Nothobranchius furzeri: one gene and its partners. The protein of the gene in region 3 binds, or shares a complex with, the protein of the main gene of each other region. Links are inferred from orthologs where the notes say so. Each region holds a gene or a part of one and is shown on either strand. Other genes may lie near its edges.

Region 1 (9,988 bases), on a different chromosome or scaffold from region 3:
AGGGAAAGACACCACGTTTAAGACCAGTACGTCAGTTTACTTTAGAATCCTCTGGCTCAAAACATCCACAGCTCAGCAGCTCTAACCCTGATTTAATTCCTGAAAAAAGGAACGTGATCGATATCACAGCAGCAAGACTTTGGTGGAAACTCGTAAATTCACACGTGACAGAAAGGGAAGGAGGCCATGTTACAGAAGCTCCACGCCATGCTGTGTTTTAAACATCTGCACCGTAATTGGGTTCACACTGAGCTCTTAAATCTGAGTGATTTGATGTAGAGATCCTGGCATTAAGAGCAGGATGAATTCCAGATGGGACTGGAAAAGTAAAACCACGGATTATCGCCTGCAGGTGAAAATATTTTATTATTATGTTTTAATGATGGCAGAAGTGAAGAAAAGAGGTTACTTTACGCACTGCAACGTCACGAACGGCCTGATTTTGAGATCCCACGGGTCAAATGCACAGCCAGGTCAACTTACCCTGGCTATGACACATCCTACAATCTTTTCCCCTCACAGGAGACTCGAAGTCTGCATGTAGCCCCTTTAATCAGAGCCTACTTCCTCACACCAGCTGGACTGCAGAGATAATAAATAATGAACAATAAACATTTTCTCCTCCAAGGTCCATCACCGTGGAACTATTTAAAACAAACTCCTTTATTCCCAGATGAAGAAGAAAAGAAGATTTTATAATTAAAGATAATCATGAAATATTGCCATTTATAGTTATAAATAATGGTATGTTTCAATAATCTGTGTTCAATGATTGTTTAGTATGTTTACTTGGCGAGGTCACAACATTTGCACTCACAAGTAAAGTTATGCTAATGCATGACACAAGAGTTAACCTTGTGCCCACATTCGGAGTCTCCATCACAGAGGGTGTGTCTGAGATGCTTGGTAACATCTCTCAAACTTGTCAGCCCCTGATTGGCTGGCAAAACCATAATATCAATTCTTTAAAACCAGATGGCTTTGGGTAATTAGTCAGTTCTAGAGCGAGCTTCAGACCGGCCATCTTTAGCACCTCTCTAACCAGAAGGATTTTGACACGTCGTCAAAACCTTTTTCGCACCTGCGAAGCTGAAACAACAAGATAGTTTGCTGCAGAACAAAGCTGACACAAAACTCCTTCACAGTTATTTTTAAGACGCTCGGTTTCATCTATCGTTGTGACCCGGGAGACATCCCAGGGCTGATTTGGGCGCGTCGAGGTTTATCTACGAGCCAGGTGCAGTGGGGTCGTCGGTCCCGGGACATCTTGGATCCAACGGGGGTCTTCCAGAACGAGTGAGCTAGACACAGCGAGATAGCATCTGAATGTGGTTCTGATGATAACATCTTTATAGTTTATTTGCAAACCAAATTCTTTCCATCCAGAACTCAGCTCTGAGAACGGAGATTCTGAACACATTATATTCACACATAGGTTCCAGACACCATCCTTTAGTTCGCATCCACTCACAGCAAATAATAGTTTAAACAATTTGTCAAGTCTTAAGTGTTTGTAAATCAATTCTTACTTTGTATATAAACCTGACTGTTTCTTGAATCAAAGCAAAGTGTGTACAATCCCCTGATAATTAAAAGAATCCTAGGATCTTCTAATTAATCATCCTAAGACCAAGCAGGGGATATTCTATTTATATAGAGTATCGCAGCTATTGGTCACAAGTAGTGGTATTAATATAAATAGCTTTTCAAGCAATTTACTTAACCCAAGTTACCCTCTATTATCATTACAGCACCAAGTGGGCCCACCTGTGAGCTGCAAGGTCTGCTTCTGCTGGATGGTGTTGAAGGGACTGGTGAGTTTGGCCCCTCTGGGACCTCCATGTTACCTGATAAAACCTCAAACAGCTGGATCTTGGTGAAAAACAAAAAAGTTAAGAGCACATTAGATTTTTCATCAGTTTTATCTATAATTCAATAACCAAATCAAGTCTCCACTAACTATTTACTGCTCACCGAGCCTACGGGCTCCTCTGGGTCAGAGTCCACCACCTTGAGCTGTTTGTACATGGACAGGACATCAATCAGATCCAGCGTGTTGGAGCGTTGCAGGAAAGATTCATACGCCTCCAGGATGAGATCATAGTTCTCCAAACGTGCAGAGCTGGGGGGCGGCAGGTGAAGTCTGTCTAACAATAAGTGTTTCCAGGCCATCAGGACGTCACTCAGAGCCACTCTGAACTCTCCATTCAGCTGTCAGAGGAGGAGAGAAGAAGTCACAATTACTGATGGGTTGGAACCAACCAGTCCAAAAGGAGAAAGACCTGCAGAGGTCCAAAAAATTAGCAATCAGAAGTCTCATTCGGGTATTGTCATCAGGTATGGACGTTCTATTATTATGTTTTATTACAGAGTGCATGCCTCTGTGAAATAAATATGAAAAATTTTAAATATATGTTAACAAAACTAAAACCTAGGTTATTGGAAGATTTGATTTTTAAAATTAATCTGCATCACAAACAGGATGAACTAACGCTCACCTGTTTGTTCACTTCTGCCATGGCCACCTGCAGCACCAGCAGCATGCCGTCAGCTCCATGAATGGTGGTCCTTTCAGACTCCAACATCCTGTGACACTCTCTCCTGAAGGTTTTCACCATCACCTTGAGGCGGTCCCCTAAAGCTGTCATTATATCCTATAACAAAAATAGCAGAAAGAGCTCTTTAAGACTGTTTTTGTGTTGGTTTCAAGATTTAGAAAAGGGTTAAGTAACATTTACTAGAAGAGCTTTAGTTTGTGTTTGAAAGGCAAATAAAATATGTTGAACATAAATGTAAAGCCTAACATCTTCAGTCAGATGTTGTGGCCAGCAACTGCTGAAATAACACAACTAACGTGTTCCATTATATTTATTTTTATTTTCATCACCTGTATGTACCCCCACACACTCGACACATTTATATTAAAATTTGACCCCAAAAAGTGGGTTTAAACCGTTTAAACAGTTCTAACCTGTTTTCTCGTTGCAGCCTTCCAAGTCCACGACAAAGGCAGCAGCTGTTTTGAAATTTTAAATCGACTGTGACGCCATGTGCCTTCTGGCCAATTAAATTGAAGCAAGCACACAGGGGGGCTTTGTACAAATGTACTTTTAGATCAATCACATTTTACGAACTGTTAACAGTTTACTGAAGTTGAAGTTAGCATAAATTATGATTAAGTACGATTGTATTTTCATGTATTTAAAAAAATATGTATGATTTATTTAGGTTCGTTGTACCCCTTAACCCCCTGATATTTTCAAATGATGGTACGTTCCACAAATCGTATCCGGAAGTAGATGAGAAAACCATCGAGCGCGCGGCGTTGTTTATGCAGCAATTTCACTGCCAGTAGTTTGGTAAAGTATTGAAGCTATTACAGGGTTTGAAATGGAAATATACAATATATAGAAATAATTGGATCATAAGTTGTCGGTTTGAGCATTTACTGCTAAAAACCAGTAATAATTGGAGCCCCAGGTTTTAGCTCACTGTTATGTGCACGCGTGGAGTGGACAGAGTTTACTGGAAATACATTTATACGCGACAAAAGAGGCAGTTTTTGTTCCCAAATGTTCGGGATACCCCACTGTTGTAACTGGTAACTGTAAAGCCGTTTACAAAAACTGTAGTTTAATGTAACTCAAGTATCTTTCCTGTGTAATTTTTCTATTTATGATTTATTCAAGTTTGATTTGTGTTTACAATTTGCCGAATTAAACAGTGACCTAAATAGCTTTGTAGCATCATTCGCAATGTTTCTCACTGATTTTACCAGGACTACCTTCCAAAATTTGTAAAAGAAAAGTACAATTTAAGGAAACCAGGTGATCAAGCCCTCTCCGTTATCCTCAGCCAAAACCAGCCTGTGCCTTTTAGATTTTATGATTTAAGTTATATAATTTTTAATTAGTCTGAACATCTTTCAGATTTATTTTTGTGTCATTTTAAATAAAAGTTAATCAGTAATCCGGGTTTCCAAGTCGAGAAGGGTTTCTGCCTAAATAAACAAATACAAGAGCATAAGCAGTTCACTCCTAACTGCTTTACCCTCAGCAGGGTCATGGGTAGCTGGTAACTCCAGCGATCATCAGGCGAGAAGCAGAGAACAGCCTAGATAGTTCTCCAATCCATCACAGGAACGCACAGATAACCAGTCACTCACACTCAAAACTTGAGACAATTAACCTGAAATGCATCTCTTAGGTCAGTGCCATAGCCAGGACTTTAACCTGCAACCTTCTTGCTGCAAGGCTACCAGCTATGTCAATGTGGAGCCCCTGCATTTGTGCATTATATTAATATTAATAACTTAAAACTAGCCATTGGATGAACTAAGAAATAATGAAGACATATTTTTTCAAGCACATTCTGTGAAAAGTGAGAAGTCATCAAAATGATAGACCGAGTAACACGTTTAACAGTTGTGAGTAAAGTAACCAATTACATTATTACCTGAATACAACTGAGACAAACTGAAACAACTCATTACTAGAACAGTTTTACCGGATCTGTGCAGAAATGATCCTGTTTAATGTGCTAATTTGCCCCTCTTTGTTTTGATATAAATAACAGTGGAAGTCCCGGTTCAGAGCCAGCTTTCCCAGCATACACGTCATGCAGGAGGGCGCTATCCACAGTCCCAGCTACACTGTGCCATGTGACGACTACGTCCATGTGGTGGAGTTCAGTCCCTTCAGCTCGGGTACCCCCGTCTCTCTCCTGGCTTACGGTGGGAACCAGTATGTGGTGGTGGCCACCTGCCTCTTCCAGGTTAGAGATGCAGCTCCACACAGCCAGGTTTACCCTTCACATCGATTATTTTTGTCTTTCATGTGAATTTGCATCAACAGGAGGAGGATATGGAGGTGGAGGGAGTTGAATTCAACATACTTCGAGCTTTTCATCACGAGTTGCAAGTCGAAGTTTTGGCTTGGAGTCCAGAGTCTCAGCTGAACAGGATACCTACCATCAGGTATAACATTTTACCATAATTATTTTGTAAATCTTTGCTGACTGGTAACAGAATACTGTGTTATTATGTGTCAATTGCCTTGCTTGTTCGGTGGATCACACGTGTAATCTTAGCAGTGTCAACCCTAATACCTTTTTTTGCAAGTCAACTATATTTTCATAGTTCCGTTTTTCAGATCTAAGTTGTGTGTTTATATATCCGACGGTGGGCGGAACCAGGACCCAGCTGGGGAAATTCCCGGTGGCCCTATTTGAGTTCGGTGTTTTTTGGGTTTTTATTTATTTATTTATTTTTTCGGGCCGGTGTTACTCTGTAGATCACCTGCTGCTGATGAGAGGATTTCTCCTGTCAGGAACAGGTGAGCTGCTGCCAACCTAACCCAACAAGCTTCTGTTCCTAGAAACACGTTCTAGCCCAGAGTGACCTGTTATTTATGATTTTATAATTAATATTAAGTGAATGCTCAAAACTCACAGGTGATGGGAAAATAAAATTAAATAAGCCTGTATATTTTCTCCCACAGCTCAGCTCTGTTAGAAATAAGCAGATGTCTGCTTCAGCTGGACAATATCAAGTATAAAAAGTGCTCACAGATAACTGTTCTCTTAATGAAGAAACAATATTAATTATTTTTAAATTTAATATTGATTTTATTTCATTTCTAAGGTTTAGATGTCTGCGAACATTACAGAATTTTTGATTAGTGTAAATAATACACACTATTATTAAAGGGACTTTACGGAGTTTTGAATTTTGATGCTTGCGATTGCCCCCTCAGGCCAAAAGCGTAACGGCAGCTTCAATAGTAGGCTCGTGCACGAGGCGCACATGCTGTACGTGCACACTCCTTAACGAAAATAGCAGCTGACAGTCCCGTGTGTGTGTGTGTGGCCCGGAGGACAGGAGAACGCACAGCTAATTAAATAAATAATTTGGTTCTGTACTTTTCTCTTCAGCACAGCCGACAAAGGTTTATGATGGGTCAGTCCTCCTGCATGCTCAGATCATTCCCTTCCCTTGCTTGAAAAATTGTTCCAAAATGAAAGTTGAACCCACATCTTTTTTATCTGTGAATTCAATGCCGTTCGGCGAGTCTCAAATAAAAATTTGGGCATCTTACTGTAAAAAAATATACCATTAATGTAAAAAAGAAACTCAAAATGAACTATATTTACATCCAGAATCGAACCCGGGTCTTCTGCACAGGAGTCCGCCGTCTTACTGGGTGAGCTATAGCATCAGTGACATCTTTTGTATCTGTAACATTTATATCCTTGATGACAGCTGAAACAACGTTCAAAGAACGGTTCGTAGAGAAAATGGCAATTTTGTTGCTAATTTGTAGGAAATATCTAGAAGAAAGTAGCTAAGGGTCCTCAGAAATGAAGCTAGGTTCATCACTAGGCGTTAGGAACAGCGACAAAGTCGCTGAGTTGGCACTGCCTCTCTCTCTGCTGTTAAAGCTACTGATAGCAAATGTTACGGGCGATGCCTGAGCGTGAACGTGCATGAAGCAGCCTGCTCGACCCGAGCATCTCTCTTTTTCTGTGATTTTGCAGAAAAACAGGCAATCACAGTAAAAATGCCAGGGCTCATTCTACAGGACCAGGGCATTGCAGGAGAATGTATGAAGAATACATTTATTATTTCTATACATGTTTTGGCTGTCAAACTTCCATATTGTCCCTTTAATAACAGGTCTGGATGTGGTTTGGTCTGAGGTATAAAACTCTGCCCTGGGTCTAAAGCCCTGCCGATAGATTTAGTTTCTATAAACAACAACAAATAAATAACAGCAGTTGGATTCTACTTTGTTTCTTAAATTTAATCACGTAGTTTTGCAAGTTCTGTACGCTCACATGTTCAACAGCAGCTCTGCCAGCTGACTGGTTCTTTAGTAACTAGTGACATCAGTACAGTTCTGCTACTGAGCAGCATGGATGCATCAGAGGATTTCGCTGTAGTCAGTGTTCATATAGATTAAAGACAGGATAGGATATATAATCATTCAAATATAATATTATAATGCTGTGAACATGTATAGATACTTTATCATACGTTCTCACCAACCTGTAACTTACCAACCTTTTTTTTCTCAAATTGCCCCAGACGGGCTATACCTGACATGCCTCAGATCCCCCTAGAGTAGTTTAATATATATATATATATATATATATATATATATATATATATATATATATATATATATATATATATAAATAATTAGGGCTGAGCAATAAATAGAAAATTTATCGTTATCGAAATTTCTGACTCTTATCGAGATAATTTTTCCCATGTCAATGAATTTGATAATAAAAAATGAAAAGATGTTTGTAGGTTGGCATTGTTCATGTCCCTTTAAGAAGCTGGACCACCTTGAGTCACGTAAAAATGTGACTCAGCGTAGTACATGTGACAGCCCCATCTAGTGGACAACATTTGTTTCTGCACATACCTGTAGTTATCGTCCATGTATCGTTATCGAGGTGAAATCCTCAATTTATCGTGATACTGATTTTAGGCCATATCGCCCAGCCCTAATATATATATATATATATATATATATATATATATATATATATATATATATATATATATATATATATATATATATGTATATATATATATATATATATATATATATGTATATATATATATATATATATATATGTGTGTGTGTGTGTGTACCTATCAATATATATCTAGGTATATGTAGATAGGTACATATAGATAGGTAGATATACAGATACCGCTGTAGTCGGTGTTCAAAATAGATTCTATCTATCTATCTATCTATCTATCTATCTATCTATCTATCTATCTATCTATCTATCTATCTATCTATCTATCTATCTATCTATCTATCTATCTATCTATCTTTTCTCTCTCTCTCTCTGCAGTGATGCGGACGCTGAACCGATCTGTCGTGGTGAAGAGGGAGCTGAGCCAGAAAGCCAGGCTCTCGATTTACCGGTCGATCTACGTCCCAATCCTCACCTATGGTCATGAGCTTTGGGTAACGACTGAAAGAACGAGATCGCGGATACAAGCGGCCGAAATGAGTTTCCTCCGTAGGGTGGCCGGGCTCAGCCTTAGAGATAGGGTGAGGAGCTCAGGCATTTGGGAGGGACTCGGAGTAGAACCGCTGCTCCTCCGGATCGAAAGGAGTCAGTTGAGGTGGTTTGGGCATCTGGTCAGGATGTCTCCTGGCGCCTCCCTGGGGAGGTGTTTCGGGCATGTCCTGCCGGCTGGAGGCCCCCGGGTCGACCCAGGACACGCTGGAGAGGTTACATCTCCAATCTGGTCCGGGAACGCCTTGGGGTCCTGCCGGAGGAGCTGGTGGAGGTGGCCGGGGAGAGGACGATCTGGAGCTCCCTAGTTGGGATGCTGCCCCCGCGACCCGGACCCGGATAAGAGGAGGAAGATGACGACGACGGCTGCAATATAACAAAGAGTGAAAAATTGATGGGGTCTGAATACCACCCCTGCTCTGCATTGCTGCTTCAACTTCTGTTTAGCGATGTCAACATGGTTGCAGGCTAGACTGCCCAATTTCACAGCCGTTCACTTCCGGTCTTCCGGGTCAACAAATGACCTGGTATCTGGTCTTAACACCAGCCTACGAAGACTGGGTAGGCCCCGTCTTTCAGGATGCAGCCCCTGAATTTGGACGTAGCCTCATGTGTTGCTGGCTAAAGTTACACTTCCGTATGGGAACTAGGTATGCCTCACTCCATCAATCAATCAATCAATCAATCAATCAATCAAACAATCAATCAATCAATCAATCAAAGCTTTATTTATAAAGCGCCTTCCGCAACCCTGTCAGGAAGCCCAAAGCGCTGAACATGGTTCAGTTGAAGCAGTAGCTCTCGTACTGTACATGCTGAAAAATACAAGAAAAAGTGCTGCTAGACCCATAGTAATGACCAAAAGAACAAGACCAGGCACACAAATGAATTTACTCCTCAGGGTGGCTGAGCTCAGCCTTGGAGATGCGATGAAGAGCTCTGACATTCAGAGGAAACTCAGTAGAGCCACTGCTCCATGTCGGAGAAGAACCAGCTGAGATGGTTCATGCGTATGCCCAGGATGCCTCCTGAAAACCTCCTAAAGGAGGTGTTTTGGGCCTGCTTGGAGGTGACCCTGAGGCCATCTCAGGTCATTCTGAAAGTATGCATGACCAGGCTGGTTAGGAAACATCTTTGAGATCTCAGCAAAGGAGGGAACAGTCTAGGCTCCTCTGTTCAGACTGCTACCCCTGCGATCTGAACCCAGAGAAGCAAACTAAACTGTAAAGAGATCCACAGAGACCTGTGTCCGAGGAACCCTTCACAAATGTTAACCTAACCTTGACTTGTTTGCGCAGAAGATTAAATTTCTCTCCTCACATATTTCATGGCTTATCTGATTCCTTTTATTTAAATAAATGTTGTGTGTGATGATCTGTCTGGAGCCTCTTATTATGTAATGAGTCTTCAGACTGTTGTTGTAGGATTAGAGGGCGTCACATCCGCCTCAGAAACCTGACATCTTTGACTTTTAATAAAACAGCATCATTTTCCTGACAGAGCTCACAATCCTGCTGTGTAGAAGGAACCGTCAGCATCTCTCGCTGTCACACTTCCAGGATCTGAGCCAAGCTGTGCCAGGTGGCTTCAGACAGAAGGGAATAAGCCCAACTTGAGATTATTAGAAAGCAAAGAGTTTCTGCCTAATTGGAGCAGTAGATGGGAAGGATCTGCATTCGCTCTGGAGGTGTTTTGGCTTTCTGCAATTGAAAAGAAAAGGCAGCGATAATTCCTGGCCTTTTGTGGTTTACTCCGCAGGACACTCAAGCCAACACTTGTGACGTGTGCACATGTTATTGCGCTGATGAGAACCCACTCAGGTTCAAGCTCTCCTTTCAGTCGGCACGTAGCTGTTCCTTCCAGGAAAAGTACAACGTTCTCACGGGCTTGATGAGAGGAGAGGGGGCTCTGGCTGCCACCGCAGCAGCTTGTATTGAAAACA
Region 2 (9,929 bases), on a different chromosome or scaffold from region 3:
CAGTGGTTCTGTTTCTGGTTTCACGTTTGCAAAAATTCTTCAGAGATGAGTTTTAAAACGACTGTGTGTGTGTGTGTGTGTGTGTGTGTGTGTGTGTGTGTGTGTGTGTCTCACTCGTTCTTTATAGTAGAAGGAGGAGATGGAGACGGTGTCCTTATCGGAGCGGGTCGGGCTGCCGCTGTACAGCCGCAGGGTGCTCGGAGGCTCCGAACGCATCTTCATCGGGGTCAGGACTCCGCTGTGATAGGCTGAGAGGGCAGACAGGGACCTGAACACACACACACATACACACATTTTCAGCTGCTTCTGTGTCTAAAACTGATTTTGACTCCAGATCCAGCTGCTAGATTCTGATTCTGACCCATTATGTGGGTCTGAGATCTGATCCGAGACCAGTTACAGGACCTGGACTGGTCCTCTACCTGTCCAACAGCAGATCAGAACCACAACACCTGTGGGTGTGGTTTACCTGGGAGTGGGTTCAGTGGGCGGGGCACAGCGGTGCATGGTGATTGGTCGGGTGAAGTAAACCAGACAGCCGGTACCACAGAAACGTGCGCCGGACGTTCGAGGAAATGGGATGTTGGCATCCTGAGGGAGGACCAGATGTTTGTGTGTTTGTCTGAAGCAGAAGGACCATCATCTTCATCAGTGCAGACTCTACCTGGTAGGAGCCGTAAGTGTTGGTGACGCGAGGAAACGCCTGTAGGGAGGGAGTGACGGGATTGGATAAGACGAAGGGTCCAGACGCTGGGCTGTCCTCTTGGGTCTGTCAGACAGAAACAACAGATTGATGAGAGCTGCTAGCGCCCCCTGCAGGCTACTGGGCCCATTCGCTGGTTTTTGGTTCTGGTTCTGTCACCATATCAGACTCCAGACAGGACACGAGCTGACGGACACACGGCTCCAAACAGTTCTGGTTCCTCTTCACTTTTTGAAAAGACGTGTCCCTCAAGATCTGAAGACAGAGAAGTAGAGACACAGAGAGACGCCAGAGAACAGCAGCATAAGGGTTCTGGGTTGGATCAGGGGTTCTGAACCAGGCTCTGGACCGGTTCTGTAAGTTGACAGTATGTGAAAACTGTTCTGAAAGGAGTTCCAGAACATTTGAATGGTTTACCTGCTCTCCAAGAATGGGTCAGAAATAAAGAACCAGACCCAGCATGTGTGTCCGGCACCATGCTGCGGTGCGTTCAGGTACCTTCTGGATCTTGGTCTTCATTGCAGAGGGGATGGTTGTCGGTGGGGTGAACTGGAATGTGGGCGCTGCGTTGTTGGGGTACTGGGCCGGGAACTTGACCACCAGGTGGACCTGATGGCTGCCGAAGTGGGCCGACACCACACAGCTTCGGTTCATCGCGTCCATCTGAGTCCAAAACACAAACAGTCATCAGAGCTGGACTGAACGGGTCCAATAGAACCCATCAGCGATGCTGTTTCTTCCACCTGTCAGAGTCTCACCTCAACGTTGACGTTTCTGATCTGCAGGTTGACCAGAGAGAACTCCTGCTGAAGAGTCTGAGCGAGACCAGAACCTGCTGCCAAGTCCTGATGACCGCCGTCTGGATCTGGGAAACAGAGCGTCAAAACCTTAAGGTGTGATGTCACAGCGAGGAACCAAGTTTAAACCACGAGTTCTGCTGGGTTCTACATCGTTCTGATCCATTCCTCAGATGGTCTCAGGACAATGGCTGATCACATGTTCGATCAGCTGTTTCTGCTTCTAGAGGACAAACACGTGGATGACACACACACACACACACACACACACTGCTGGGCCTAGAGCTTGACCTCACCCTGCAGGTTGTCTGTATCGGGGCCCACGGTCTGCTGGCTCTCAGGCTCCTGGGAAGACATGAACTTCTCCGACTCCACGGTGAGAGACATCCCCTCCATCAGGTCCTCAACCATGTCACTGACACACAGCTACACAACAACAGTAAGCCAATCAGAACCTTGTGTGTCTTGGCTCAGAGAATGGTAAAATGATAAATGGCCTGTAGTTGATATAGCATTTTCTAGAGTCCCGGAACCGCCCAAGGTGCTTTACAACACAATCAGTCATTCACGCACACACACACACACACCCTGGTGGTGATTAACTACATTGTGGCCACAGCTGCCCTGGGGCACACTGACAGAGGCGAGTCCCTCCGACCACCACCAGAAGGCAAGGGGGTTTAAGTGTCTTGCCCAAGAACACAACAACAACAGACTGAGCGGTGCTCAAACCTGCAACCTTCCGATTACGGGGCGCGCACTCAACTCCAGTGCCACCATCGCCCCAAGGTGGAACCCAGGACCAACCTTCTGCAGCTGAGGATCAACCCTCCATATCCTCATAGTCTGATCTCTGGACCAGGTGACCAGCTGGAAGTCCTTAGAGCCTGCACAAGACAGTCAGCCATCAGTTTGACACAAGTCAGGTTCAACCTAACCATCAACGGACTCAATGGCTCAGTTTCTGTCAGTCAGCATCTAAAATGTTCAAGAAAAGATTTGTGTTGTTCGAATCTGAACCAGAACCTTCAGGCCCAAGCAGATCATGTTTGGTGATGATGAGACTCAGACCGAGGAAAAAAACAAGGAAATCAGTTAAGAGTTCAGAGATTTACCATGGAGACACAAAGAGGAGGGGTCACAGGATTTGTTACCATGGAGACAGAGGAAGGGGGGGTCACATGATTTGTTACCATGGAGACACAAAGAGGAGGGGTCACATGATTTGTTACCATGGAGACAGAGGAAGGGGGGTCACATGATTTGTTACCATGGAGACAGAGAGGAGGGGGGTCACAGGATTTGTTACCATAGAGACAGAGAGGAAGGGGGGTCACATGATTTGTTACCACAGAGACAGAGAGAGGAGGGGGGTCACAGGATTTGTTACCATGGAGATAGAGAGAGAGAGAGAGAGAGAGAGAGAGAGAGAGAGAGAGGAAGGGGTCACATGATTTGTTACCATGGAGACAGAGAGATGAGGGGTCACAGGATTTGTTACCATGGAGACAGAGAGAGGAGGGGGGGTCACATATTTGTTACCACGGAGACAGAGAGAGGAGGGGGGTCACATGATTTGTTACCACGGAGACAGAGAGAGGAGGGGGGTCACATAATTTGTTACCACGGAGACAGAGAGAGGAGGGGTCACATGATTTGTTACCATGGAGACAGCGAGAGGAGGGGTTACAGGATTTGTTTCCATGGAGGCAGTAAGATGAGGGGTCACAGGATTTGTTACCATGGAGACAGAGAGAGGAGGGGGCGTCACATGATTTGTTACGATGGAGACAGAGAGAGGAGGGGGTAACATGATTTGTTACCATGGAGACAGTAAGAGGAGGGGTCACATGATTTGTTACCATGGAGACAGAGAGGGGAGGGGTCACAGGATTTGTTACCATGGAGACAGAGAGAGGAGGGGTCACAGGACTTGTTACCATGGAGACAGACGGGGAAGGTTACAGCATCGGTAACTATGCATCTCAGCTAAAGTCTGAGTCTGCAGGTCTCACCTTCTTTCTGCGGTCGCCACTGGAACTCCAGAACCACGTCGTCATGTCCAACGAAGGCGTGGACGGGACTGTTAAGGTCGAGGGTGCTCCACAGTAACAAACTGTTTTCTCTCCTCAGCTGAGGAACCATGATGGTGACCAGACCATTGGAGAAAGGCTGAACGAACGTACACACACATCATAATATTTAACCATAAGCCATTCTAGTTGATCCTTCGTGTCTCTGTTGGGCTGAACTGAGCTCAGACCCACCGTGTACCGGGCCTTCCACACTGGAACCTGACAGGACAGGATGTTCAGGTACTTCCTGGGCTGTCGGTAATCCCAGAACTGCACAGACACAGAAAACACAAACACTGGACTAGACCAGGGGTTCTGAGACCTAAGCTAATGGCTCCTCCGCTCTGTAAACACGTTGGGGACAGTTGTGTCCTCACCCTGACTGAGTTGTCCTGGCTGGACGTAGCAAAGATATATTCATTGTCTGAATGCCAGTCGAGGCCGTGGATCTTGGAGAGGTGAGCCGCTACGTACTCCACTGCTGTGCTCGGCTTCTGCTCAGAGGGAATTTTGTCACACGCACGCACATACCATCATCACAACCAGAATCTTAACTTCCTGGACTTTTTTAAAGCATTTTAAACGTTCAAGTTTCTCTAAGAACCTGGAAGCTCCTGGTCCAGGTTTGAGGACAGATAATCTGGGTGCTGGACTCGGACTCGTGTGTGACTCACTCTTTTGTCCCAAACCCGAACGTCTCCATCATGACTGGATGCCAGCAGATGTTGGTTCTTCCTGTTCCATTTCACCTGAGACGCTCCAGCTGGTGGACAAAGGGACAGGTGGACAGATCAGACAGATGTTACTATTATATATATATATATATATATATATATATATATATATATATATATATATATATATATATATATATGTATGTATACATATATATATATATATATGTATGTATACATGTATATATATATATATATATATATATATATAGCTTTAATGAGATCACTCAGTGGTACGTTTATGACACAAAGCCAGCTGCTGATGGTAGAGGTCGACATAATCTTTGTGATATCGGAGGGTCCCTGAATGCACCACCTGAGTGTCTGAACATGCGTTTTTATCCTGAAGACTCACCGACAGCAGACAGCGCCACAGTAGGCTTCCTGGTGTCTCTGTGGAGTCAAACAGACATGATGAGACGCTGAACGGTCGGGGTAAATGTGGGTTTTATGATCAACAGCTGCTTCAGCTCAAACAGATTCAGAACCGACCCAGTTCAGCAGCTGTTGAAGGTGAAACCGGGAGAAGGACCTTTTGGACTGAGCGGGTGTTGATTTAATCAGCTGATCAGAAACTTCAGTGGGTCAGACTCCACCTCAGTGGCACGTTTGCGTTACTGGGTCATACTGGGTCAGAACTCAGTCAGATGGTTCTGATCTAACCTGATACCGAGGTTTCACCTGTTCTCACCTGGTGTCCCAGATGTAGATGTAGGTGTCCACGGAGCTGGTCGCCAGGAGCTCCGAGTCGAAGCAGGACCAGTCCAGATCACTGAGGACACCAACACATCACAGTGAGTTTCAACCGTCCTCACCTGCCGACAGGTGAGACGGACTCCTGACTGCTGTTACCTGATGACCCGAGTGTGTCCCAGCAGGGAGGTGTGGGCCTCGCCACAGCCGTCCCTCCACGAGTACAGGTCCACACGCTGGTTACTCTGGAGAGACACACGTACACGTTTGTTTGGCTTGGTTTGGGTAAGGGTATTTATGTAGGCGGGACTGATGACAGTTCATCCAATCAGATTTATCAGGAGAACAAAAGCAGAAACTCTGTAAAAGCTGAAGAAGGTCACTTTAACTCACCGAGGCAGCAAAGACGTGAGCCTCTGACCTGTGGGGGTTCCACTGGACCGTCCCCACATCCCACTTACTCTGGCGTGCAATCTTACGAGGCGGTTCAGACGGGGCCTCCAGGTTCACCATGTACAGGAAGTGGCGGCTGGATGGCAACAACATCAGCTGATTACCTTGTTTTTCATCCTCAGGTTTTTAAGCATTTAACTGATCTGTATGTTCTGATCAAACACCTGAGATACTGGAATGTCCTGAGTAAACTAACTAGTTCTGATAGAAAACACACACACACACACACACACACAGGTTCTGATCCATAGATGATGTTTAGTATCAATGAATCTGTACTAAAGCCTGTCTGACTGGGTAATTTCCAAAATATTTCAGATCAAACAAAATACCTGGATTTATTCTAGTTCCATATAAATAAAATGTTTATTTTAAGATCAAACGTCTGACTGCTTTGACATCTTAATATCTGTTCCACGGGTTGCTCAAAGACACTTCAGCACAGGAGAAAATCGAGCCGCTGGTGTCAGGAACTCACCCTGACAGCACCGCATGGGTGCCCAGGCAGTCCACGGACATGGCTGTGGCCTGAAACACAACATGAGACCCATTTATCAGCCGTGTCACATGATAAGTCACATGATTTCACAAACAACAGGAAGACTGACAGCAGACCAGGACTATCACTACAAATCCAACAGAAATTGGGTTCCTGGATTACACAAGCTGGAATGCAACACAGCTGCTGTAGGTGGACACCTGAACGCAACGCAGCTGCTGCAGGTGGACACCTGAACGTAACACAGCTGCTGCAGGTGGACACCTGAACGTAACACAGTTGCTGCAGGTGGACACCTGAACGTAACACAGTTGCTGCAGGTGGACACCTGAACGTAACACGGCTGCTGCAGGTGGACACCTGAACGCAACACAGTTGCTGCAGGTGGACACCTGAACGTAACACAGTTGCTGCAGGTGGACACCTGAACGTAACACAACTGCTGTTTCCAGAGTTTTATAATTTTATTAGTTTCACGCTCTACCGACCTGCGTGTGCGGGTCTGAAACCACGTGATCAATAAAGTTATCGATTTTAAAACTAGTTGATCACATTGTAACAACTAACAGGGGCCGTTTAGATTCGGTTCTACAGGCAAGCTCCTCTCTTCAGCTTCAGTCTCGCCTGAGGCTCCGCCCAGAAATACTAACAAATAAACAAGTAAACAAAGCAACACCTGGGAATCCCGAAACTCAACCACCACATTCTCACTGCTCCAACGGGCAGCCATCTTCCTTCTTATTCCAAACAAATCACCACGTGACTATTATGTAATCGTGCTGCGTTCAGTGGCGGTGGGAACAAACGCCAACAGATCGAGAGACAGATGACAGATTATGTAAGTTTTAGAAAACACCGTTCGAGGATTCGCATTATAGACATATATTGATTATTACTCTCAGACGTTTTAACTTTTCTTTAATCAGTTTGATTCGTCTCGCCAAATGATATTATAGCTAGAAGTATTTTCACCCCTAATTAGAATAGTAGTCTTGGTTTCCATGACAACTAACATGATTAATATCTACAAAAACTGGGGTCCACCCCCAAGGCAACATAAATGTAGTCAAATCACATTTAAATCCACATAGAATAATTAAAAAATTTCCGACACATTTGGGGTAGTTTGAATGCCTCTACACGTAATGGGATTGTTTCCTCTCATCTGATTGGTCGTTCCAGCTGCTTGTCATCACATCAAGATGGCGCAGACCCTGATAGAGCATGTTGTCGCGGACGCTGGAGCCTTTTTAAAGAAGGCACCTTTGCAGGTATCAGTAGACAAACCGATCAGCTGATCGGGTTATTTAGATTTTACAGAAACGTGAGTTTAAAGTGACTTGAAGGTCCAGATCAGCTGGTCTGTTTTTCAGGACATCGGCAGGAACATCTACACGCTGAGAGATGTGGTGGATGAAATCAGAGACAAACCCACCAGGAGGAGCCTGGCCTGCCTGCCGTACCAGCTTCATTTCAAGGATCCACATCCAGAACACATCAGATATGGTAACCAAACCCTCAGGTCTAACCTAAACCCAGTCTTGAACTCCCAGGTCCAGTGGTGTGTCCAGATCTTTAAAATGGGGTGGCCCAGGTGAGGCACCACTTTGTGCATGGGTGGCACCAATGGTTATGCTTTTTTTTTTTAACCCCAAGCCTTTTGTGGACAGTGAAAAGCCTATTTAAAGGGAATTCAGTGCAGTGGCACATGGGGTGGCCAATCAGATTCCAAGGGTGGCATTTGCTACCCCAGGCCACTCCCTGGACACGCCCCTGCCAGGTCTAACCTAAACCTTACCAGCTCAGAGGCTTAGTGGTTGGGTCATACCAAAGACTGACAAAATGGGACCCAATGCCTCCCTGCTTGACACTCAGCATTAAGATGATGGGGGTGGGGGGGTGGGGGGGGGGGGGGGTGTTAACCAAGTTAAACCACCAACTGTGTCTGTAGCTCATCGCTCCCCCAGGGGATGGGTCAAATGTAGAGAACAAAATTAGCACACACATCAGCTAATGGGACTGATCTTCCAGGTCTAACCCAACTCTCTCCAGAACCCCCAGATCTGACCTAAACCAGGTCCTGCGTTTGGGGTTTGACACCAGACCCCTCTGTTTGTCTCTTTGTGGTTTCAGTCTCTGAGTTTTCCAAGAAGACCGGAGACTATCCAAGTCTGTCGTCCACCGACATCAAAGTTCTGGCTCTGACCTACCAGCTACACCTGGAGCACGTGGGCTCACAGCACCTGAAGAAGGAGCCGGAGAGAAAAGTAACACACACACACACACACACACACACACACCTGAACTTTACTGACATAGATTGTTTTGTGTTCCAGGTGAACATCCAGAGTACACAACGCCACCCAGAGGCACCGGTTAACATCGCAGGGTTCCACTTTCCCTCTATGGTACCAGAACCAAAGTAGATTTACTTGTTGGTGGAACTGCAGGAGTTCTGAGCGTCTGGGCTTTCGTCCCTCCAGAGACCTGCAGACAGCAGACAGAAAACAGCAGAGAGACAGACGTCCAACCAGTCCAGCACCGAACAGTTCAACAGTTTCCAGTTCTGGAGGGATCCGCTTCTGACCATCAGTGATGACCTGCTGGGCCTCCTGGTGCGTCCCAACCAATCAGCTGCTTGCTTGGTGTCTCAGGATGTTTACACACTGTCTGGTGTTGCTTCTGTTGAGTCAGGGTCCAGTGGAGGCTTCAGGTCCAAACCAAGAGCAGGGGGAACCGCAGATGTCCTCCGAGACCACCGACACAGAACACTTCAACAGCTTCCAGTTCTGGAGAGAGCCCGTACCGAGCATCGACGAGGACCTGCTGGCTCTACTGGTGAGTTCAGATCCCAGATCAGAACCAGTTCCTCTGTGACTTAGAGATCTAGAACTGACTGAGAGAACTGGGTCCTCAAAACCCAGTTCTTCAGTAAACTCTGGGCCCTACCTGATGGATGTGGGCTGTCTGAAGAGAACTCGGAGCTGAACGCATGTTTGTTTTCAGGATGAGGGCGGAGCCTCACCACAGACAGAGACAACAGTTTCAGGTGACGAGGACAAAGAGAACGAGCCCGAAGAGGAAGATGATGAAGATGATGGAGGAGGTTGGATCACACCCAGTAACATCAAACAGGTGAAGATGGACTCTGCTGATTGGACGGTTCCAGCTGATGTCATAGTTGGATGTTTGACCACCGACTTTGCCATGCAGGTAACGGATGGTTCCACCAGAACCACAGTGTTGATCGTGTGTGTGTGTGTGTGTGTTAGCACAGGATCATGTGACCTTTGTTCTCCTCAGCCGAGTCCTAAGTGGTTTGGAACCCAGCTAAGGAGAACGTTAATAATTCAGGTTCTGACGCAGGATCCTCCTCCTCACTAACCCGGAGCTTCTGTTGCATGTGCAGAATGTTCTGATCCAGATGGGCCTCCATGTCCTGTCTGTGAATGGGATGGTGATCAAACAGACGAGGAACTACATCCTGAGATGTCACGCCTGTTTTAAGTGAGTTTTGAGTTTCAGCTCCTCCTGGTGTTCCTTCGCTCTGACCGCAGAACTTAACAGAACTTCCTTAATTCCAGGACAACGAGCAACATGAACAAAGTCTTCTGTCCTCACTGTGGAAACCAGACCCTGAAGAAGGTGGCAGTGAGTGTCAGCAACGATGGAAACATCCAGATGCATTTCTCCAGAAACCCCAAAGTCCTGAACCCCCGAGGGCTCCGGGTGAGAAGCTCAGAATCAGGCTTTTATTTTGAAAGGTCACCAGCAGTTCTCTCAGGATGTGGTCTAGATGAGATATGTAGACAGAACCTGATTCTGTTGGGTCATGTGATGAGGCTCTGGCCCATTCTGTCTGCTGCAGCACTCTCTGCCGCTCCCGCATGGCGGCAAACATGCCAACAACCCCCACCTGGTGGAGGACCAGCGCTTCCCCCAGCAGCGGCTCTCCAGAAAGGCCCGCCAGAAGAC
Region 3 (11,124 bases):
ACTTTTAAAGGGAATGTACAGTGAAACTAAAGCTTTATTGTTTCCACCGTCGACATATTTATAGGGTTTCCACAAGTTCTTGTTGGAGTTCTAGGTTCTGTCAAGCCAGACTAGTAGAAGTAAGCGTGGACATGCTGAAGTGGCTCCATGTTTCACCCCTCCTGTTCTAGTTTAGGTACAGAGAACCAGCTGACCGTTGAGTTCATTTCTCCTCTAATGAGCTGAGAACGCTGCACAAACTAACAGATCCAACCAGCTGAGTGAGCCAAAGGCAGCTGCCCACCTTTCCACAGCCGAACACAGCCATCGTCTCCAGAGGAAGCCAGCAGGGTGCTGGTGATGTTCCAGCTCACACGCCACACCTGGGAGTTATGGTTGTCGAACTGAGCCACGATCTGCACCTCCAACTTGGTTGGTCCGGTGGTGGTGCTCTCCCTCCTGTCAGACAGATCCACAACAAAAGTTTAGCTTCTGCCTGTGGGTTTAACCGACGCCTGCAGACTCAAAGCACGTACAGGCGCGTAGACGACCATCAGTAAAACACTTTGTTACAACACACCTTCTTCTGAGACTAAGGTGCAGAAAAACAAGGATGAAGACATCACCTCAAAGGAACAAGCTTAAATATTCTGACATCTTTTGTTGCGATGGCGAGGACGTGGAAGGACCTTCCCAAGTTAGGAGCAAATGCGATATCGTGGACTGCATCTGTGACTGTCATCAGTGTCTCTGCTTTACTGTACTTCCTTTGAAACAGAACAGGGAGAAATGTAATGAAACCCCTTTAGGTAGTACGAGTGTACACACACACACACACACACACAGGAGGACCTACCGTGTGTTTTCATTATACTCATAAATCTGAACCTTCCCGCCGTAGGTCACGTTGCTGTCATCACTCCCCACAGCAAACATGGGGGGATGGGCACGAGAGCTGCGGGAACACAAGACAACATCATCACTGACGGCTAAACATGGGACGGTTAAAGGACCACTGTCCACGTTTAAGTGACGTCCGATCAGTAGTTAGAACCCTACCAGCAGGTGGGAGGCGTCCTCTGACCAGCACAATACCCCCAACTACCCAGAAAACTATTGACTAACTTTAATGTAAAGAAATGGACGAACATGCTGAAGTTATCTGGAGGAGAAACAAGAACCTAGAATGCGTGGCTGGTTCACTCAGGCAACCTTTTCCTGTTTTTGATCCTGATGCAAAAAAATGAAAAAGTTCTTGTTTTTCGTATTTTTAGTTTTAGTCTCGGATCAAAAGTACGAAACCGTCCCGTAAACCTCTGACTCACTACTGTGAGTTACACTCTGATGTAGGGCGGCCTGCAGGAGGAAGACCCCCTCATACAGAGTTACACCGCTGCTTCAGACGGAGTTTAGATGTTTTAGTCCAGGTCTGCTGACCACCTGCTGCTACCCATTCCCAAAATGAGCAGCAAGGCTCGTGGGGAGCGTGCTTTTGTTTCGCTGCTCTAGAACTGTGGAACAGCCTCCTTCAGTTTAAATCAAACTTCGGCACACTTCTTTTGTCTAGCTTTTGGCCGGTGAACGTTCTTTTTATGCTGCGTCTGTTTTTACTAGCTTATGCCTTTTTATTGTTATGGCTGAATTCTTCAGCATACCAACATGGCCAGAACCTCCAGCCATCAGTCAGGGAGCTGAAGCCAGGATGGAAATGGATTATGCAACAAGACAATAACCCAAAGCATTCCAGCTAAACCACGTAGGAATGATTAATCCAGTCAAAAGTCCGGACCTTAACCCAGTTGAAATGTTGTGGCGAGACCTGAAGAAGTTGGCACACGCCAGGTTCAAGCAGCACGGTACGCACAAGGGAACACTCGGACTGCTGCCTTCCTACATCTGCTCCCTTCTGGAAATGAAAAATTTTAAAGCCGCTTTATTTTCTTTTGGAATAATCAGCTAGATCGGGGTGAGAAACCCTTTCAGGGTTAGCTGTTAGCCATCTCTGTCATAGAAGAAAGAAGAAAATATCATTTCTATAGCGCCTCTCAAGATAAAAATCACGAGGCGCTTCACAAAAACAAAAAAATGTAAAAATATAAAAAAGCATTTAAAAAATGTGTAAAAATTTATTTAAAATGAGCAAAAATAGGCAATTGGGATTTAAAAGAAAAAATGTTAAGAAAGAGAGAGAGTGAATAGGAAAGAGGGAAATCAGTGGATCCTGAGGAAGGTGGAATAGGTGGGGAGAGCAGAATAAAGAGAGAGTGGTGAAGAAGGTCATACAAAAGCCAGCTTGAACAAGTGAGTCTTCAGCTTCTTTTTGAAGGAGACCACTGAGTCCACTGATCTCAGGCTCAGGGGAAGAGAGTTCCAGAGTCTGGGGGCCACAGCAGCAAATGATCTGTCACCTTTGGTCTTTAGCCTGGTGCTGCACAACCAGTAGGCTTTGGTCACTGGACCTCAGGGACCTGCTGGGAGTGTAGGGACTAAGAAGATCACCAATGTAAGATGGTGCTTGTCCATGTAAGGCCCTAAAGACCAGAACCAGGATCTTGAAATGAACCCTGAAGTTGACTGGCAGCCAGTGAAGCTGGAGGAGAAGCGGGGTGATGTGGGTGTGTTTGGAGGACTTGGTCAGAAGCCGAGCACAGGTATTCTGAACCACCTGTAGACGGTTCAGGGAGGTTCTGCTCAGACACGTGAAAAGAGAGTTACAGTAGTCTAAGCGTGAGGAGATGAAGGTGTGGAGAACTGTCTCAGGTTCAGAGTGGGATAGAATGGGACTCAGCTTAGCAATGTTCCTGAGATGGAAGAAGGAAGAGCGAACAAGAGAACTGACATGAGAATCCAGGGTGAGAGCTGGGTCAAAGGTCACACCAAGATTCCTGACAGAAGGTTTGGTGTGAGAAGCAAGCTGACCAAGAGAGTCTCTGACTTTGGGAACCAGCTTGTCTGGGGCACAGATGAGGATCTCAGTCTTATCTTCATTCAGCTGAAAGCTCCCACCATCCAGGTTTTGATAGAGTCTAAGCAGGTGTGAAACAGCTGCAGCTTAGACATCTCATGGGGCTTAAAGGAGATGTACAGTTGGATGTCATCTGCATAAAGATGGTAGGAGATTCCTTTGAAGGAGCTCAGGATGTGCTGAAGAGGAAGCAGATAGAGGAGGAAGAGCAGAGGCCCCAGCACAGAACCTTGTGGGACACCATGGGTAAGAGAGGTGGTGGAGGACCTAAACTTGGAGACGGCCACAGAAAAGGAGCGCTAAGACAGATAAGAGGAGAACCACTCCAGAGCAGATCCTGAAAGGCCTACCCAGTATCTCAGCCTCTCCAGTAGCAGGTGATGGTCAACAGTGTCAAAGGCTGCAGTCAGGTCCAGCAGGACCAGAACAGAACAGTCCCCTGCATCACTGAGTCAGAAGGTCATTAGAGACCCTAAGAAGAGCTGTTTCAGTAGAATGAGCTCTACGAAAACCTGACTGGAAGCTATCATAGATGTTATGTTCATCAAGAGCAGCTGTGAGTTGTTTAGCCACAACCTTTTCCAAGATCTTGGAGATGAACGGAAGTTTAGAGATGGGTCTGAAGCTGCTGTGGAGAGAGGGGTCAAGACCCGGTTTTTAAGAAGCGGGTGGATTACAGCATTCTTAAAGTAAGCAGGGACGTGACCAGAAACCAGAGAAGCATTAATTATAGAGAGCACGATGGGACCGATGGACAGAAAAGCACTTTTAAACAAAGATGAGGGTAAGATGTCGAGGGGGCATGCAGAGGTCTTCATAGAGTTAACTAGTTTGGTTAACTCAGGCAAAGAAACAGGTGCAAAGCTATCTAGGATGATGGGTCTGGTTGGAGTCGGGAGAGGCAGCGATAAGGCTGAAGGAGAGATGCTAGATCTGACCTTATTGACTTTGTCCACAAAGAAAGACAGAAAGTTCTCACAGTCTGTAACACCTCTTGTGTAATGACCTCTTGTCATAAAACAAGACATAAAGGAATGGCAGCAGCAACAGTGATGCTCAGGTTTAAGGAAATTCTCCAAATGACCGATTACAGAAACAAACATGTCCCCCATGTGTTAAGTGAAATAATTATCATCTAACCTGGAAGGGTTCCAGGATATACAGCTGCAGCTGAGCTTGCATGAGATCTCGTGCTGCAGAGACCACTGGCTCAGGTTCATCACGTCAGGAGCCTCGTAGATCCTCACCACTCCATCAGCAGAGCAGGTGGCCAGCATCAGACCCATGTGTTTAGGAGCAAACTTCACATCAGTTACAGATGTTCTGCTGTCCACCAGTGTTGTTCTCTTTATCTGAATCAGAGCACCAGAAACACGGGTCAGGACTCGAGACAGGCAAACCTATGAAAACATTAATGACTGAGCTGTGGCTGTACAAACCCAGTGGCTCAGGCCTCTCTGTTTGTCATTGGACTCCCCTACGATCTCCTCCCAGACAGCAGCTGTTCTGTCGAAGGAGCAGGAGGCCAGGACCTGCCCAAACTCTGGATGGGCCCAGGTTACTCTCCACACTGATCCACTGTGGGTCTGCACACACATCATTACATCATGGATAAGTCCAAAATACACAAATATACACTCACCAGTCACTTCATAGGTACATCTGCTACCTCTGGGGTCAATCTTTCGTAAACATGGCCTATCATTCCATCTGTATGCTGACGATTGCCAGATTTACTCTCCATTGTGTCAGGAGAAAGGTCACTTTATTCAGTCCTTTGTCTCCTGTGTTAATGAGGTGAAGTCTTGGCTAATGTCCAACTATCTACATCTGAATGAGGGAAAGACAGAGCTCATTGTTTTTCACCCCAACAGCAGGAATGTGGATCGTTATGCTGATCTTGGCCCTCTTTCTCCATACTCAAAACCAGTTGTTACCAGTTTGGGGGTGAAACTTGATGTAGGACTTAAATTTGATGCTCACATCAATTCTGTGATCCGGTCCAGTTTCTTTCACCTGAGACGCCTTGCTAAAATCAAGCATATGCTGTCAAGAGCCCACCTGGAGCGGGTACTGCATGCCTTTCTAATTTCTTGGCTTGACTACTGCAACTCTCTATATGCAGGGTTGTATCAGTCAACACTGCATCGCCTACAGGTTGTGCAGAACAGCGCTGCCAGGTTCCTGACTGGGACCAGGAAACGGGACCACATCAGTCCAGTTCTGGCCTCCCTGCACTGGCTTCCGATTTCCTATCGCTCACAATTCAAAATACTCGTCTTTGTTTATCATTTCTTCCAGGGTGGTGCTCCCCCCTATCTAGCCACACTCCTGAAAAGACACTCCCCATCACGCGCTCTGCGCTCCTCTGACCAAGGCCTGCTCGCTGTCCCTCGGTCTAGGTGTCGTACCCGTGGGGACCGAGCTTTCTCAGTCCTAGCACCGTTACTCTGGAACCAGTTGCCACCCTCAGTTAGGCTGTCCCCTTCTCTGCCAGTCTTTAAGAATCACCTAAAAACACACCTCCTCCGCTTGGCATTTCCAGAACATGTTTGATTTTGGCACTCTTTTATGTTGAATCCATTCCACAGTTTTCATTGGTACACTCAATCCATCCACTCAATCCAAATGTGTTTCACACATTTGTATTTTACCGGAATGTTTCATCTATCTTGTAATTTCCATTTTGTATTTTGTAATTTGTATTTTGTAATTTGAATTTCTTTTATTGTTGATTTATTCAATATAATTACTTACAACTGTACCATGTTCAGCGCTTTGGGCTTCCTGACAGGGTTGCGGAAGGCGCTTTATAAATAAAGCTTTGATTGATTGAAAGCTTTGATTGATTGACCTATTCTACAGCTTTGCACATTTCCACTCAGCCAATCGCATGACGGGCGGCACTGTCCATTTAGGCATCTAGACATGATGAAGGCTACTTGCTGAAGTTGAAACTGAGCATCAGAATGTGGAGGAAAAGACATTTCCATGGTTTGAATGTTGTATAGAATAGAAGAAGAGAAGCTGAAGAGTTTGACCATGTCCAGCCCTTTATGACCACATAGACCCATCTTCTGATGCTACTTCCAGCAGCACCATGTCACATAGCTCAGATCATCTCTAACTAGTTTCTAGAACTGGACTCTAATGGCCTCCACAGTCAACAGATCTCAGTCCAGCCCAGAACCTTTGGGATGTGGTGGAACTGGAGCTTCTCATCATGGTTGGAGCCGATGCTGTCATGTCAGGTTGGACCAGAGCCTCTGAGGACCACTTTAACTTCTTGTTGGCTCTTTGAGATGAAGGATTAAGGTGGTTCTAAAGAGGTCTAAAAGAGGTCCAACCCGGATCTATTGGCAAACTTGATAGTGCCCGTGAGTGTAGAGCAATAGTAAATCTGTTGAAACAGCAAAGATTACCCAGGAAGGGCTTTTACGGTCATGTAAACAAACGTAAGCAGGTTGTTTACCTTCCAGCTGGCTGTGCAGTGCCACTCTCCATTCTCACTTTTGTCCCAAACCTGTCAGGAAGTCACAATAAACAGCTGCTGTTACGTCATCTCCACACATTAATTTTAAACTGACAACACACGAAATGAGTTCCTATGGTTCCTACCTAAAACACAACACTCGCTGCCTTACGTGATTGAAGCTTTTACTGATACGTTCATATTCCAGTCAAACGTCTGCACACATTAGCCTGCATGCTACAATGTAAGTACAGTAACATGCAATACTTTAAATTAGTTTATAGTTTTAAAACAAATTTTGTCTAATTTAGCTAATAAGCGCATAATGTGCCAGCACACAACACGAGTGTGTTCAGTAAGAAGCTAGGAACGTGGGTGACGCTAACATGCTAGCTTGAGTCAGCTCACCTTCACACTCTGGTCGCTGGAGCATGTTGCCATTCTCCGGCCGTGAAAATCGTAAGAGACATCGTGGATCAGATCTTTATGGTCCGCAGCGATACTCCGAGCTACGAACATGGTTAGAAGAAAAACAACAGCGAGATTAGCTGCACTGCACTGGTTAGCACAAGCTCCCGCCTGTCACGTGACAGAGAGAAAGAGAGAGAGAGAGAGAGAGAGAGAGAGAGAGAGAGAGAGAGAGAGAGAGAGAGAGAGAGAGAGAGAGAGAGAGAGAGAGAGAGAGAGAGAGAGAGAGAGAGAGAGAGAGAGAGAGGTTTTTGAACAGTGAACCACATTGGGGGGGGGGGTGCTTCAATTCAAACAGGGTTGCCAAGTTTGGCGAATTTACTGCATTTTAGATACAAATGAGATGTTCATGGTACACTTAAGCATAAGTCACTCACTTCTTAGGGTTCTACAACCCCCTTCAAAGCACTTTACAATACAACCAGTTATTCACACACACACACACACACACACACACACACACACACACACACACACACACACACACACACACACACACACACACACACACACACACAAACACACACACACACACACACACACACACACACACACACACACACACACACAATGAGCCCCAGGGCAACTGTAGCTACGATGTAGCTCATCACCACCAGCACCAGCATGTTAATGTTTATGCATTGGGGAATTACACTTTGGTTTTGTTAAGAAGGGAAGGGGAGATGACCGTGTTTAACCTGTAACATAAATACAGTTATTATTGCATTTTTAGCTAAACAATAAGAGAATGAGTTCCCCTCATGAGTTGCTATGGCCACAAATGCTGTAGCATTTCATTTAATTAAAGAGCAAGTCACACTACAAGAAACTTACTACACTCCCACTTCATGTTTGAAAAATGCAACGAATGCGTTTGCCTGGCTGACCGAGAGGGCGGAGCCGTTAACAAACACACACAAACAGGTTCACAACGGCATTGTGACATCATAATGTACCAGCTGACTTCAAAGGGTACCTCTTAGCCAACAGTGATGGCAGATTTAAATTCAAATGTAGTGCAGAGTTTTTACCTGAAGGGGGCGCAACACTGACAGTTTTAGGCTGCATATTTAAATTATAAGATGCACTAAAGTGCCAAATTATTGACTACACACATCTATAGAGCTCCGGACCCCACGTGACTCTCAGTTAGTAGACGCCATATTGGCAGGGAAAAAATGGTAAACAAACACGGATCGTAAACATGAACATGAACGGGATCGGCTTGGATTTTACTTCGTCTGAGTTTACTTCACACTTTAAAACTGAAGAAATCGTTTTATATAGTCAGAAATTAAATAGACCAAACATCTCCGACCCTTAACCGTGCCCCTGGGATACTTTTTTAAAACGCCAGAAGCTGTCGGAGCGGACTTCTTACCGGATCTGGCCGGGGAACCCCTTGGGATTTCCCCGGAGGAGCTGGCTCAGGCGGCTGGGGAAAGGGAAGTCTGGACCTCTCGACGCTACTGCCCCCGCAACCCGACTCCGGATAAGCGGATGAAAATGGATGGATGGACAAATAACAGATTTACACGTAAGTAGTTTAAATAGAGTGCTGTGCTGTTTGAATGTATAAACTGAACACCAAGAGAAATCACTAGTTTGATTGTTTTCCATGAATAAAATAAATATGTCAGGCAGGAGCGTCTCAGGATCTGTCTGAGATCTGACTCGGTGAGACAAATAATAGCAATCCAAAATGCTTTTTATGTGTGATCTGACAATTGATCAACCATTGCTTAAAAATTAAATACAGCTTAGCCGGTTAACTGCTGTGATCATAAAACACGTAAACGGCAGCACGCAGAACTCACGAGGCAACGTTTTACGTGATGTTTACTTGCTGCTATGAGTAATAAGACAGAAAAAGCCACGCCAAAATAAGTTTAGGAAGCCCACTAAGAATCGTAATAAAAGCATTTAAAATAAACACCATACACAGTTGAGGAAACGTTGTTTAAGTACCTGATATGAAGCGGTCGCTGCATAAGCGAAAACCTTTACTCTCGGGGTCCCACAGCTTCATTTCAGCCCGGTCACTAGCGCGTTTTATTACAATGATCCAACGTTTGCGGTGCTCCGGATCTTGGGGAATCCTGTAGATGGCTCATTCCTTATGTCGTCCGTGTCTGTTCTGCATCCTGGGGCACAACAGGAATCTACCATATTTCCTGTCTGATTGAGTTTTCTGACAATAACAAATAGTCCAGCTGCCGGCTTCTGCATGCCAATATGGCGCCATTTCGATTTGAACTGTTGCATGCCGGGAGAAGTGATGTCAGCTCCCGGAGCTCTATAGCACCATTAGACACTCGTCTATATAGTTTATCAGTAAAATAAGTTGATTTGGGGTGACTTGCTCTTTAAAAAACGGTTTCTACTGAGTAACTATTGAATGTACTCCTTCTCCTTAATATTAATACTCCCATGAAGACAAAAAAAATGTAGGATTTTGTTTTCCAGCTTCACTGAGATAAGCAGGTTTGTGTAGCTCTAACTGATTGCCACTGTGGGGGCTCTAACATAGCTCTTCATTAAGTAAAGTTTGTAGCGCTGTAGCTAGCTGGATTTGCCCTTTGACTCCACACAACTATTGAATATAACACTTACATAAATACAGTTTTCATTGTGTTTTAGATGAATAAAAAGATTAAAAAAAACAGTTAGAGTGAGTTTCCCTGTTGCTATCATGCTATCATGCTATCAGCTATAATGAATGTCTCTGACCTGTGAACCATCAGCACCGGTTCCCCTCAAGGCTGCGTTATCTCTCATCTGCTCTTCTCGCTGTACACCAACAGCTGCACCTCCAACCATGAGTCTGTGAAGCCTATCAAGTTTGCAGACGACACCACCGTCATCTCACTCATCTCTGATGGGGATGAGTCTGCGTACGTAAGAAGGTGGAACGGCTGGAGTCCTGGTGCAGCCACAACAACCTGGTGCTAAACACCCAGAAGACAGCAGAGGTCGTTGTGGACTTTAGGTAGCCCCCCCCCCCCCCCCCCCCCCACACACACACACACACCTGTAACCCCGTTTGACACTCCCATCATGATGGTGGACTCATGTTGCTTCCTGGGAGCCACCATCACCTCCATCATAAAAAGGTCCAGCAGAGGATGAACGTCCTGAGACAGCTGAAGAAATTCAACCTATAAGTATAGTCAATGAAGTTCTACACCTCAGTCTTCAAGTTCATCTTCACCTCTTCAATCACCGTGTGTGGTATGCTGGAGCCACACACATACTCTCCTCCAAATCCAGCTTGAATCCAACGTAACATTGTGTGTTGTAATAATCAAATTTCTTTATTATCATTGTATGTATTATTATACAACTGCAAAATCAGGTTTATTATGTAGGTTATTACTATATAATTACAAAATGTGTATTGTATAATTACTAAATAAAACCTGACGGAGAATTTAACGAGTGTTATTTTGTTTTTAGCCAGTAAAGAATATGTTTAAGTTTTGATGATAAAGTTTTTTTTTTTTTTTTTGCACAAGCGCTGAAAAAAGCCTCCCGCTCGCTTGAAGCGCGCGCAGAGATGCATAACTGGCAACCCACGTGAGTCAGAGGGAGGCGGGCTGGCTCCCAGGCTGCAGGGATTCATCATCAGGTTACACACAGCAAGCGCAGCTAGATGGCTGGCCGAAGCCGGACGGTGTGAGTTGGGGAACGTCGCTGCTAACGCTCTCTACTCGTCCCCCTGGCTCTTCACCTCTCCCATCACAACCAGAATGGAGGCAGAACTGAAGGAGATTGATTCGCGCGGCGAATGGCAAAACATTTATAACGTAAGTAGGGTCCGCGGCAGGGCCTCCGGTGTTTCTATGACGATCAGGAGCTAACTAACTTAGCTAGCTAACGTCAGAGGCGCTCGCGGCAGCGTCCGGATACCACCGCGAGCCTCCTGCTGAGTGGTATTGACCCGTGGGCTGCTGAGAACAGTAGCCGGTGTTCCGGGAATTTCTCCTACCCCGTAAACCGTCCTACCCGTTGTTACTCGGAACTCCGGCTGTGTGCTGCTGCTGCTGGGGGGCTGATGAGAAACTAGCAGCCAGCTTTAGCGTTCGCTGACTTGCGTGCGGCGGCGGAGCTTCCACCGGAGCTGTTATCTGCTGGCTGACGCCTGCAGACGTCAGCTGCAGTTTCTGAGAACTCACCGGTGTCGGTACACGGGACTTCCAGAGAAATGCGCACGTGCGCACCGCCGGTCCCTTTTGAGTCT

The links.
Region 1: seh1l (region 3) and nup37 share a complex: the UniProt entries of both Homo sapiens proteins name them as parts of the nup107-160 subcomplex of the nuclear pore complex. The link is inferred for Nothobranchius furzeri from reciprocal best matches to the Homo sapiens genes SEH1L and NUP37.
Region 2: the proteins of seh1l (region 3) and wdr59 are in contact, whole or in part, in a cryo-EM structure (PDB 7UHY), measured with the Homo sapiens proteins. The link is inferred for Nothobranchius furzeri from reciprocal best matches to the Homo sapiens genes SEH1L and WDR59. Residues at the interface, in NP_112493.2 of Homo sapiens: Asn308, Tyr309, Met310, Asn312, Lys314; in NP_085058.3 of Homo sapiens: Pro713, Asp714, Glu716, Thr717, Pro718, Arg721, Arg837, Glu840, Gln843, His844, Asn847.

The regions. Positions count from the first base shown.
Region 1 is NC_091741.1:39,623,337-39,633,324, reverse strand, and holds the start of nup37 (nucleoporin Nup37), read left to right. Parts: upstream 1-3,238; 5' UTR 3,239-3,299; coding exon 3,300-3,359; intron 3,360-3,384; exon of another isoform or gene 3,385-3,601; intron 3,602-4,575; coding exon 4,576-4,773; intron 4,774-4,853; coding exon 4,854-4,975; intron 4,976-9,988. Other genes in the region: parpbp (PCNA-interacting partner), read right to left, coding at 1,768-1,872, 1,975-2,211, 2,499-2,648. UniProt on the Homo sapiens protein: Component of the Nup107-160 subcomplex of the nuclear pore complex (NPC). The Nup107-160 subcomplex is required for the assembly of a functional NPC.
Region 2 is NC_091749.1:66,260,588-66,270,516, forward strand, and holds the start of wdr59 (GATOR2 complex protein WDR59), read right to left. Parts: upstream 6,751-9,929; 5' UTR 6,685-6,750; coding exon 6,631-6,684; intron 5,984-6,630; coding exon 5,934-5,983; intron 5,532-5,933; coding exon 5,396-5,531; intron 5,248-5,395; coding exon 5,162-5,247; intron 5,082-5,161; coding exon 5,001-5,081; intron 4,703-5,000; coding exon 4,665-4,702; intron 4,339-4,664; coding exon 4,250-4,338; intron 4,070-4,249; coding exon 3,953-4,069; intron 3,846-3,952; coding exon 3,768-3,845; intron 3,673-3,767; coding exon 3,516-3,672; intron 2,388-3,515; coding exon 2,308-2,387; intron 1,927-2,307; coding exon 1,797-1,926; intron 1,569-1,796; coding exon 1,462-1,568; intron 1,367-1,461; coding exon 1,202-1,366; intron 959-1,201; coding exon 863-958; intron 770-862; coding exon 665-769; intron 592-664; coding exon 470-591; intron 269-469; coding exon 115-268; intron 1-114. Other genes in the region: RNA-binding protein NOB1, read left to right, coding at 7,157-7,225, 7,328-7,460, 8,088-8,221, 8,291-8,362, 8,438-8,569, 8,649-8,792, 8,961-9,167, 9,364-9,461 and 2 more. UniProt on the Homo sapiens protein: As a component of the GATOR2 complex, functions as an activator of the amino acid-sensing branch of the mTORC1 signaling pathway. The GATOR2 complex indirectly activates mTORC1 through the inhibition of the GATOR1 subcomplex.
Region 3 is NC_091745.1:49,019,478-49,030,601, forward strand, and holds the start of seh1l (nucleoporin SEH1), read right to left. Parts: upstream 7,016-11,124; 5' UTR 6,936-7,015; coding exon 6,825-6,935; intron 6,468-6,824; coding exon 6,417-6,467; intron 4,531-6,416; coding exon 4,384-4,530; intron 4,297-4,383; coding exon 4,085-4,296; intron 935-4,084; coding exon 836-934; intron 747-835; coding exon 606-746; intron 439-605; coding exon 284-438; intron 1-283. Other genes in the region: ptpn2a (tyrosine-protein phosphatase non-receptor type 2a), read left to right, coding at 10,634-10,690. UniProt on the Homo sapiens protein: Component of the Nup107-160 subcomplex of the nuclear pore complex (NPC). The Nup107-160 subcomplex is required for the assembly of a functional NPC.